Caenorhabditis elegans: one gene and its partner. The protein of the gene in region 1 purifies or fractionates together with the protein of each later gene. This does not show direct contact. Each region holds a gene or a part of one and is shown on either strand. Other genes may lie near its edges. The genes, in order: ahsa-1 and hsp-90.

Region 1 (3,916 bases):
GCTTCTCTCGGCATTCCCTGACAAGGAGAAGCTTACGGTAATGACGATCTGCAACACAGGAAGCTTGGCTACAATATCCTGGGGTACTGCTCTCGGAGTCATTCGGGCTCTTCATTCTGAAAACCGTCTGAAATTGGTTTACGTTTTGGAGACGAGACCCTATAATCAAGGAATTAGGTTGACTTCCATAGAGCTTCTTCATGGTGAGGTGCCGTTCAAGGTAATGCTAAATACTGATTATCTTTTAAAAATCCAGATTTTCTAGCTGATCACTGATTCAATGGCAGCATGGGCAATGAAGAATCACCAGGTGGATTGTGTGCTCACCGGAGCCGATAATGTTGCAAGAAACGGCGATACGGCTAACAAAATCGGAACCTATATGCTTGCTGTCCTCTGCAAACATCACAACATCAACTTCTATCCGGTTGTTCCATTCACGACGATCAATAAGAATATTGCAACCGGGGAGGAGATTAAAATTGAAGAACGACCATCTGCAGAGATGCTTCGAGTAAATGGAGTTTTAATCGGAAATTCTGAATGTCCGGTTTGGAATCCAGCATTTGATGTCACGCCGGCGCATCTCATCACGAAAATTTTGACGGATTTCGGAAACTGGCCGCCTGAAATGCTCGAGCAGCAGATTCCTAAATAATTTTGTTTGTTTTTGAACAGAATCTGTTGAATTTATGAAAATATTATCACTAAATTTAGAACACAAACACAGATTGATATAAAATAAATAAATTGAGAAAGCGGTTTAGAAGATCGGAGAACATCAAAAACAGGAGATTTGCAATTTTTCATTTTTTCACATTCGCTGGCTGAATCCGAAAGTACGACCAATGCTTGAAAGGTAGTAACGATCGAGTCCTTGTTGAGTTTCTTCAGCGAGATGAGTTGGAACATCTTTAGCGATGATTTTGATATCCGTTCCAGATCCCTAGAATTTATTATAATAGAAGGTTTATCCTCGTTTGTTCTAAAACTTACAGTATCTTTCAACTGGAAATGGATGGTTGCATGATGATTGTTTGGATACTTTTTCAGTCGCCATTTCTTCACAATCTCCTTGTTCGGCTCAATCTTCTCGAATGTTCCAGTCACGTTTTCCCCGAACAATGCAAATGATCCTCCTTCCTTGAAATTCCACTCTCCGATCGAATTGTTTGTCCATCCACGAACGAATTGAGTCTCTGTGAGCGCCTCGAAAACTCTATCCGGTGTGGCCTTGTAGGTATCGGAAGTTGAAACCTCTTTGGTGGAGAACACTTCATTTCCAGAAGTGGAAGCGTCCTTTTCCGCGACAACAGTGTTTTGGAACTGACGTTTGTCAACGACTGAAGTCTTTCCAGTAGTAACGACTTGTGGCTTCACTTTATCAGTTGGCAGAATGAGACCCTTGCTGAATTCTTCCTTCAATTCACGGATATAGATTCCCATAACATCTTGAATCTTTGCAATGAACGATTTGTTAAGAACTTGGCGGATTTGATGAGCCATTGGGCCATTTCCACTCAATGACGAATTCACATCCACTTCGGATGCATCGTTCTCATCACTCAAGTTTGGGATATCGAAAGTTCCTTTATATTCGTCTTCACTGCCAGAAACACGAGCAATGAATGTTCCTTCGATAACCCATTCAAAAAGGAAGATGAGCTTAGCCTTCCGGTTGTTTGCCGTTGCTTCTCCGTCGATCTTTTTGATCTCATCGATTGTCACGACAATTGGGCCATCCTGAAAACGAATACTCTTAATACGATCTTGTTCAACTATTAATTATACCTCGGACGAAAATCCGGTGAGAAGTTCACGGAGTCGGTTCAAAGACCACGGGGTTGCATTCTTCTCCGACCTAAAACATACTTATTCAGCTCAAAGCTATGACTTCAATCGAGACCCACCAATGCCAATTGTTTACGTTTGTTGCATCGGCTCGTTCTTCAACAATCCAGCGTGGATCTCCTTCTCCCCACTTGGCCATTTAAATTCCCTGAAATTAATTTAAGTCAGTTTATCGAGATTTTTAAGGTGAACATCAAGCCAGATTAAGTCGTTTTGTACTTAAAACAATGGAATTTCAATTTAAAACTTGAAAATAAATATTTAACGTTGAAATCAAAACAAGAAATCTTTGAAATTTCGTTGAAAACAGGAGAAACTCAATTAATTTCGAGAAAATTCATGAAAAATGGAAGAAACTAGGCCAGCAGGCCACGACCGCTTATCAATAGGGCGAGCTTGCATTGCAATTTTTGTGTGGATTTACGCACGTAATTGGTTATTTATTTTTGTTTTTTTTTTTCAGATTTTACGTTACACATTTTTTTAAAATAAATTAATTTTTTCAATTTCAGAAAAATGCTTCCTAAAACGATAATTAGGCACATCTCACAGTTTGCCGGAGTTCGGGACGCAGCAAAGTATGTTCCAAGACGTGCACTTCTATACGTTCCAGCCAGCAATCAAAAAATGCTGGATAAAGTTCCAATGATGCAAGCGGATTCAGTAGTTTTGGAGCTAGAAGATGGCGTTGCTCTGACGGCTAAAGCTGATGCTAGAGTTCGAGTACGTGAAAAGTAATTGGAAATTTGTCTACAATTTGAGTTTTCAGGCTGCGGCGGCTCTTGATAAACTGCCATATCACACATTGGCATGCCAGGAGCTTGGTCTACGTGTCAATTCTGTAAGCAGTGGTCTTCTCGAAGATGATATCATTGTAAGATTTATTTTTGAATTTTTCAAACTTTATCCTCACGAATTTTTTAATTTCAGGCAGTATCGAAAGCTGAAAAGTTGCCACAAGCATTTATGATTCCGAAAGTAGACTGCCCTGAAGACCTTGTCACCATCTACAACATCTTCCGTGAACACTACGGAGATGAACGGATCACAAACACGAACACTCGGCTTGTTATCTGGATCGAATCTGCACGAGCTCTTCTGGATATGCCACGAATAGTCTCATCAACTCTAAATCTTCATAAACAAGCCGGATTCTTCAAGCTAGATGCAGTTGTCTTTGGATCAGACGATTTCTGTGCAGATATCGGAGCTACACGAAGCTCTCACGGCACTGAAACCCTATTCGCTCGACAGAAATTTGTGACTTGCTGTAAAGCATTCCAACTTCAAGCAATCGACAGTGTCTACATAGATATCAAGGATCTTGACGGTCTCCGTCGTCAGTCTGCAGAAGGGTGGCAGTGGGGTTTCACTGGAAAACAAGTCATTCATCCAAGTCAAGTGTCTGTGGTCCAGGAGCAATTTCTGCCTCCGAAGGATCGAATCGAATGGGCTCAGGAGCTGGTCCACGCTTACAGTGAGCACGAGGCATTAGGAAAAGGAGCTTTCCAGTTTAGAGGACAAATGATCGATCGACCACTTCTGCTGCAGGCATTGAATATTATTCAGCTCGTGGAGAGAGTTCAGAATTAAATTCTAAATTCTAAATGTTGTAAAACTTTTTATGTACATTTTTAAATATAGCTCTAGTTGCCAGTGTAATATAATAAAAACGAGTAATTTTAAAATTTCTTTATTTGTTCAAATTCAGACAAATCACTTCTTTCCATAAGTCAAGTAATAAGTAGTGTATCCATTGCTGTTGCTCGGGTAGTAGTAAGTGTATCCATTATTGTTACTGCAGCCGGAGCAACCATTATTGTATCCATTGTTATCGTAATAGTAATAAGTTTGACCATTATTGTTATTATTATTATTATTCGGGTAGTAGTAATAAGTCGTGTATCCGTTATTGTTATTGTTGTTGTAACCGTTGTTCGGGTAGTAATAGTAGAGCTGAAACAAAAAAATGGGAATCAGATAATCAATAGGAACTTACATAATAAGCGTTGGCAGTGGAGAAAAGCACGAGAAGAGTGGCGATCAGTGTAAGGAATCTCATTTT
Region 2 (5,156 bases), 400 kb from region 1:
TTTCATAATTAATAGGAGTGAGCACAGACTGCAAAGAGAGCCCGGAACACAGAAAGAGCTCAGTAAAGCTGCTTTCAATTTCTCAAGGGCAGTTGGAAAGAGTTGGCATGGTAACGGATGTCAATTTGAGCACGCATCAACAGATTTGCGTGCGCGGAAAGCGGATTTTTCAAGAGAATAAGCATATGTTCATAAAACGATTATCGAAAAATTTTTATTTTTAGAAATAAAATGAGAGATTAGACAGCAAGGTTTGGTGGGATTGGAACAATTTCATCTTCATCTTCTTCTTCCGGATTCCACCAACGAACATCCAACTTGCGTCCTTCGAAATCTTCATTGACAGGATCCCAGAGGTTATAATTGAAATTTGGACGTGGAGGTGGATTGAATGGCTTTTCCTGAAACATGAAAAGATATTAAACTCATCTCCAACTCATGTATAAACCGGTTCTGGAATGATGCAGCAAACAGCACTGGCCAAGATCAGGAAACATGCCAACTCGAATAAGATTGCAATCATGTTTCGTATAAACTAAAACTGTTTAATTTCCCTCGAGTATCTAAACTGTTCAAATGTGCTTCTTCAAAAGTTCACGTTTGCAAAAAAAAACATTGATGAAATTAATTACGGAACTTTATTTGGGTTCGATAGACAGGAAAACAATGAATAAAACTGTGGAGGGGCTTTTGGGGAGATCTTCTCGTAACAAATGATAAATTAAATAGGATGTTTAGTCGACCTCCTCCATGCGGGAAGCATCCTCCTCAGCTCCCTCAATCTTGGCCTCAGCGGTGCACGATGATGGAACAGCAGAATCTTCAATTTCGTCATCTCCGATATCGAGACCAAGCTTGATCATTCTGTAGATGCGGGAAGCGTGAGATTGTGGCTCCTCAAGGGAGAATCCGGAAGCGAGAAGAGCAGTCTCGAAAAGAAGAACAACCAAATCCTTAACGGTCTTGTCATTCTTATCGACCTCGACACGATCACGAAGTGTCCTGAAATAGCAAAAACGTTTGTGAATGTTCATTTTAAAATAGTTTTTGGGTAACTTACTTCATGATAGCGTGGTCTGGGTTGATTTCGAGATGCTTCTTGGCGGCCATGTATCCCATAGTAGAGGAATCACGAAGAGCTTGAGCTTTCATGATGCGCTCCATGTTAGCGGACCATCCGTACTCGGAAGTGACAATGCAGCATGGGGAAGAGACAAGACGGTTAGAAACTCCAACCTTCTCAACCTTCTTCTCCAAAATGTCCTTGATGACCTTGCAAAGGTTTTCGTAGGCAACCTTGTCCTCTTCGAACTTCTTCTTCTCCTCCTCGGTTTCTGGGAGCTCGAGTCCTTCCTTGGTGACGGAGACAAGCTTCTTTCCATCATACTCCTTGAGTTGTTGGACGCAGTACTCATCAATTGGGTCGCACATGTAGAGGACTTCGAATCCGCGGCTCTTAACACGCTCGACGAAAGCTGAAGCAGCAACAACATCCTTGGACTCTCCGGTGATGTAGTAGATTTGAGTTTGGTTCTCCTTCATGCGGGAAACGTATTCCTTGAGGGAAGTTGGCTCATCTCCAGCGGAGGTAGAGTAGCGAAGGAAATCGGAAAGCTTCTTGCGGTTAGTAGAGTCCTCGTGGATTCCGAGCTTGAGATTCTTTCCGAATTGCTCGTAGAACTTCTTGAAGTTGTCTTTGTCCTCGGCAACCTCGTCGATAAGCTCCATGCACTTCTTGACAAGATTCTTACGGATGACCTTCAAGATCTTGGATTGCTGGAGCATTTCACGAGAGATGTTAAGTGGAAGATCCTCAGAATCGACGACTCCCTTGATGAAGTTAAGGTATTCTGGCATGAGCTCTTCGCAGTTCTCCATGATGAAGACACGACGAACGTAGAGCTTGATGGAGTTCTTGCTCTTCTTGTTCTCGAAGAGATCAAATGGAGCTCTTTGTGGGACGAAGAGAAGAGCACGGAATTCAAGTTGTCCCTCAACGGAGAAATGCTTGACGGCAAGATGATCTTCCCAGTCATTGGACAAGCTCTGAAATTAATGGAATTATTGCCATAAAATAATTAAAACTAAAAATACCTTGTAGAACTCAGCATATTCTTCGTTGGAGATATCGTCTGGGTTTCTGGTCCAGATTGGCTTGGTCTTGTTAAGCTCTTCGTCTTCGAAGTACTTCTCCTTGATTTTCTTGGTCTTCTTCTTGTCAGCGTCGTCAGCGACGTTCTCGACCTCTCCCTCCTTCTTCTCCTCATCCTTAGCCTCGACAGCCTCCTCATCTTCAACCTCCTTCTCACGCTCCTTCTCAACCACAAGCTTGATTGGGTATCCGATGAACTGAGAATGCTTCTTAACGATCTCCTTGATCTTGCGCTCCTCGAGGAAGTCAATCTGATCCTCCTTGATGTGCATGACAATCTTCGTTCCACGGGTGACCTCTGGGTCATTGAATGGACGAACGACGAAAGAACCTCCTGCGGAAGACTCCCATTGATAGCTGTCATCATCGTTGTTCTTGGATGTGACGACAACCTTATCGGCGACAAGGAAAGCAGAGTAGAATCCGACTCCGAACTGACCAATCATGGAAATATCAGCTCCAGCTTGAAGAGCCTCCATGAAGGCCTTGGTTCCAGACTTGGCAATGGTTCCAAGGTTGTTGACAAGATCGGCCTTGGTCATTCCGATTCCGGTATCCATAATGGTAAGGGTCTTTTCCTCCTTGTTTGGAGTAATTTTGATGAACAATTCCTTTCCAGTGTCAAGCTCGGATGGCTCGGTGAGTGCCTAAAACCGATATTTTAAAAAATTGACTCAGAAGCGAAAAAACAAACCTGGTAGCGAATCTTGTCAAGAGCATCGGAGGCGTTTGAGATCAATTCACGCAAGTAGATTTCCTTGTTACTGTAGAAAGTGTTGATGATCAAGCTCATCAACTGAGCAATCTCAGCCTGGAATGCGAAGGTTTCGGCGTTCTCGGACATGGTTCTGGAAAAATATCAATTAACAATCGAGCAACAAAAACTGAATAGAACTTTATAACGATTCAATGAATGAAAGAGCACGCATGGCGAATGATTTCGAAACTAAAAACACATTATAACCTTATCTAGAAATGAACTAATTTTAGGCCTAAAACTATTGTTCAAAAACCTTTAAAAATCAAAAACAATGATCCGTGATTAACATAAAAGCCATATTAGTGAGAGGAAAACCAAAAATCTTCACCCGAAAACCGAAAGAACTGGGAATATCAGAGCTCTGAGGCGTAATTGAAGGTCTAAATTTTGAACAAGATGCGAAATGTTCTCGAAGGAGGGCGTGGCCTTTCAATTTGATTGGTTGGTTTTCAAATTGCCCTTTTCGGCGGAAAATTCTCGACGAAAATTGTCAATAGAGCGCGTTTTCAGCACCTGGCCGAAGTTTTGCAGAATAGGTAACTAGGCCACAAACATTTTCTTGTTTTTAGTTTGAATTGTTTTTTCTTCATTTTTTTCAGATTACTTCGTCGAAAAGACGTTTTTTTGGTATTTTTGCACCAAAAAAAAATCTAAAATTATTATTCTATATTAAATAAAATCCCGAAATAAACTATATGTCACTCTCAATATTGAACTCGTTGAAAAATATTGCTTTCATTGGTTTTTATTTTATTTTTGCAGTTAATAAAATGTCCCGCGCCGACGAAGGCCGCTTGATTCATTTGGCAAAGAAACGTGAGCGTGAAAAGGAAGATATCGAACAACAATTGCGAAAGCTTGAAGAAGACAAAGAAAAATGTATGGTGAAACCCCTTTTTAATTATTAAAACTACAAATTTTGCAGGCAGGGTCGGAATTACGAATAAATTCATGGCAAACTATGAAACAGTCGAAGAAGTCGTGAAGTCTAAAACCTATGGCTTGGTATCATTGGATGATATGAAAAATATTCAGAAAAACGAAATTTCAAACAGGTTCGATTTTCTACATTTTGGAGAGCCTCACAATAAAAATGTGTACCTTATAGAGATCTACAAGTGGCCCGGGGAGACCAATCATCTTCTACTCAATCTAAAGATTCACAAGAAGCTCGAGAAAAAGAAGAACACGTTGCAAAACATACCCAGGTAAATGTGAAGGATTGCTGTAGAAATTTGGTTGTAGGCTCTAGACTCGGGTAGCAGTTGTAGTTCAATTGACTAGAGATTTCTCGTCGAAAGAGTCTTTTATACCAGATTTCTAAAAATTTGAGAACTTTCGAGAAAGAAAAATTGAGGGCAGGTGAGAGTGTGAGGAAACGCAGATATAAAACATTTTTGTAGAACATTCGAGAAAAACTGTTTTAATATTGCTAATTTCAGAAGCGATTTTTATCGTTTGCATTTGATGACGAAGAGGACGAAGAAGATGCTGCACCAATTATCCCGAAAAAGGTAAGAATAATAATTAAAAAGAAAAAATTAAAGCGAAAAATGTTTGCAGCGCGTTGGAATGGACCCAACTGTCGACACAAGCTTCCTGCCTGATAAAGAACGAGAGGAGTTCTTGAGAAAGTGAGTTCTAGAAGAAAAAACAACGACATTTCAAATTTTGGCGGGTGTAGATCATCCCGGTGAACAAATAAATAAAAAATAATAAGTCTGGTTTCAGAAAGAAAGAATCATTGGCAGCCGAGTGGCGTGTGAAGCAAGATGCCGAGAAAAACGAGGAAATTACAGTTGCCTACGCCTATTGGGATGGATCTTCACATCGGAAAAATATGAAAATCAAGAAAGGAAACACGATTTCGCAATGTCTAGGAAGAGCCATTGAGGTAATAATGAACTTCAGAAAATAAAAAAAAAGTGTTCTATGTATTTATTTTTTTGGAAATTTTTTGAGAAGGCAATTTATGAAATTCGACCGTTTCGGGCAAAAACCCACAAACTTTACTTCCCCTCTAAAATATTTTTTAATTGTTTTTTTTTTTCAACAAATCAAAAAATATTTATAAATATTCATTTTCAGGCTCTGAAAAAGGAATTCACGGAGCTTAAATCGTGCACAGCCGAGAATCTGATGTTCGTCAAAGAGGATCTCATCATACCACATTTCTACACGTTCCAAGACTTTATAGTCACAAAAGCAATGGGAAAGACTGGTCCGCTGTTCGTGTTCGATTCG

Evidence for each region.
Region 2: the proteins of ahsa-1 (region 1) and hsp-90 fractionate together in Caenorhabditis elegans (co-fractionation; 3 studies listed by BioGRID, with this or other methods). This does not show direct contact.

What each region holds. Positions count from the first base shown.
Region 1 is NC_003283.11:15,083,384-15,087,299, forward strand, and holds ahsa-1 (Activator of Hsp90 ATPase AHSA1-like N-terminal domain-containing protein), read right to left. Parts: upstream 2,000-3,916; 5' UTR 1,991-1,999; coding exon 1,911-1,990; intron 1,862-1,910; coding exon 1,792-1,861; intron 1,744-1,791; coding exon 997-1,743; intron 947-996; coding exon 815-946; 3' UTR 676-814; downstream 1-675. Other genes in the region: C01G10.9 (Methylthioribose-1-phosphate isomerase), read left to right, coding at 1-220, 266-658; C01G10.7 (Citramalyl-CoA lyase, mitochondrial), read left to right, coding at 2,368-2,574, 2,621-2,725, 2,782-3,444; C01G10.15 (FIP (Fungus-Induced Protein) Related), read right to left, coding at 3,568-3,807, 3,851-3,913.
Region 2 is NC_003283.11:14,684,004-14,689,159, reverse strand, and holds hsp-90 (Heat shock protein 90), read right to left. Parts: upstream 3,001-5,156; 5' UTR 2,997-3,000; coding exon 2,847-2,996; intron 2,800-2,846; coding exon 2,095-2,799; intron 2,047-2,094; coding exon 1,061-2,046; intron 1,003-1,060; coding exon 735-1,002; 3' UTR 621-734; downstream 1-620. Other genes in the region: gasr-8 (uncharacterized protein), read right to left, coding at 1-6; C47E8.11 (uncharacterized protein), read right to left, coding at 240-401, 449-523; C47E8.4 (Protein FAM50 homolog), read left to right, coding at 3,683-3,791, 3,838-3,967, 4,021-4,120, 4,355-4,426, 4,476-4,546, 4,644-4,806, 5,001-5,156. UniProt on the Caenorhabditis elegans protein: Molecular chaperone that promotes the maturation, structural maintenance and proper regulation of specific target proteins involved for instance in cell cycle control and signal transduction. Undergoes a functional cycle that is linked to its ATPase activity.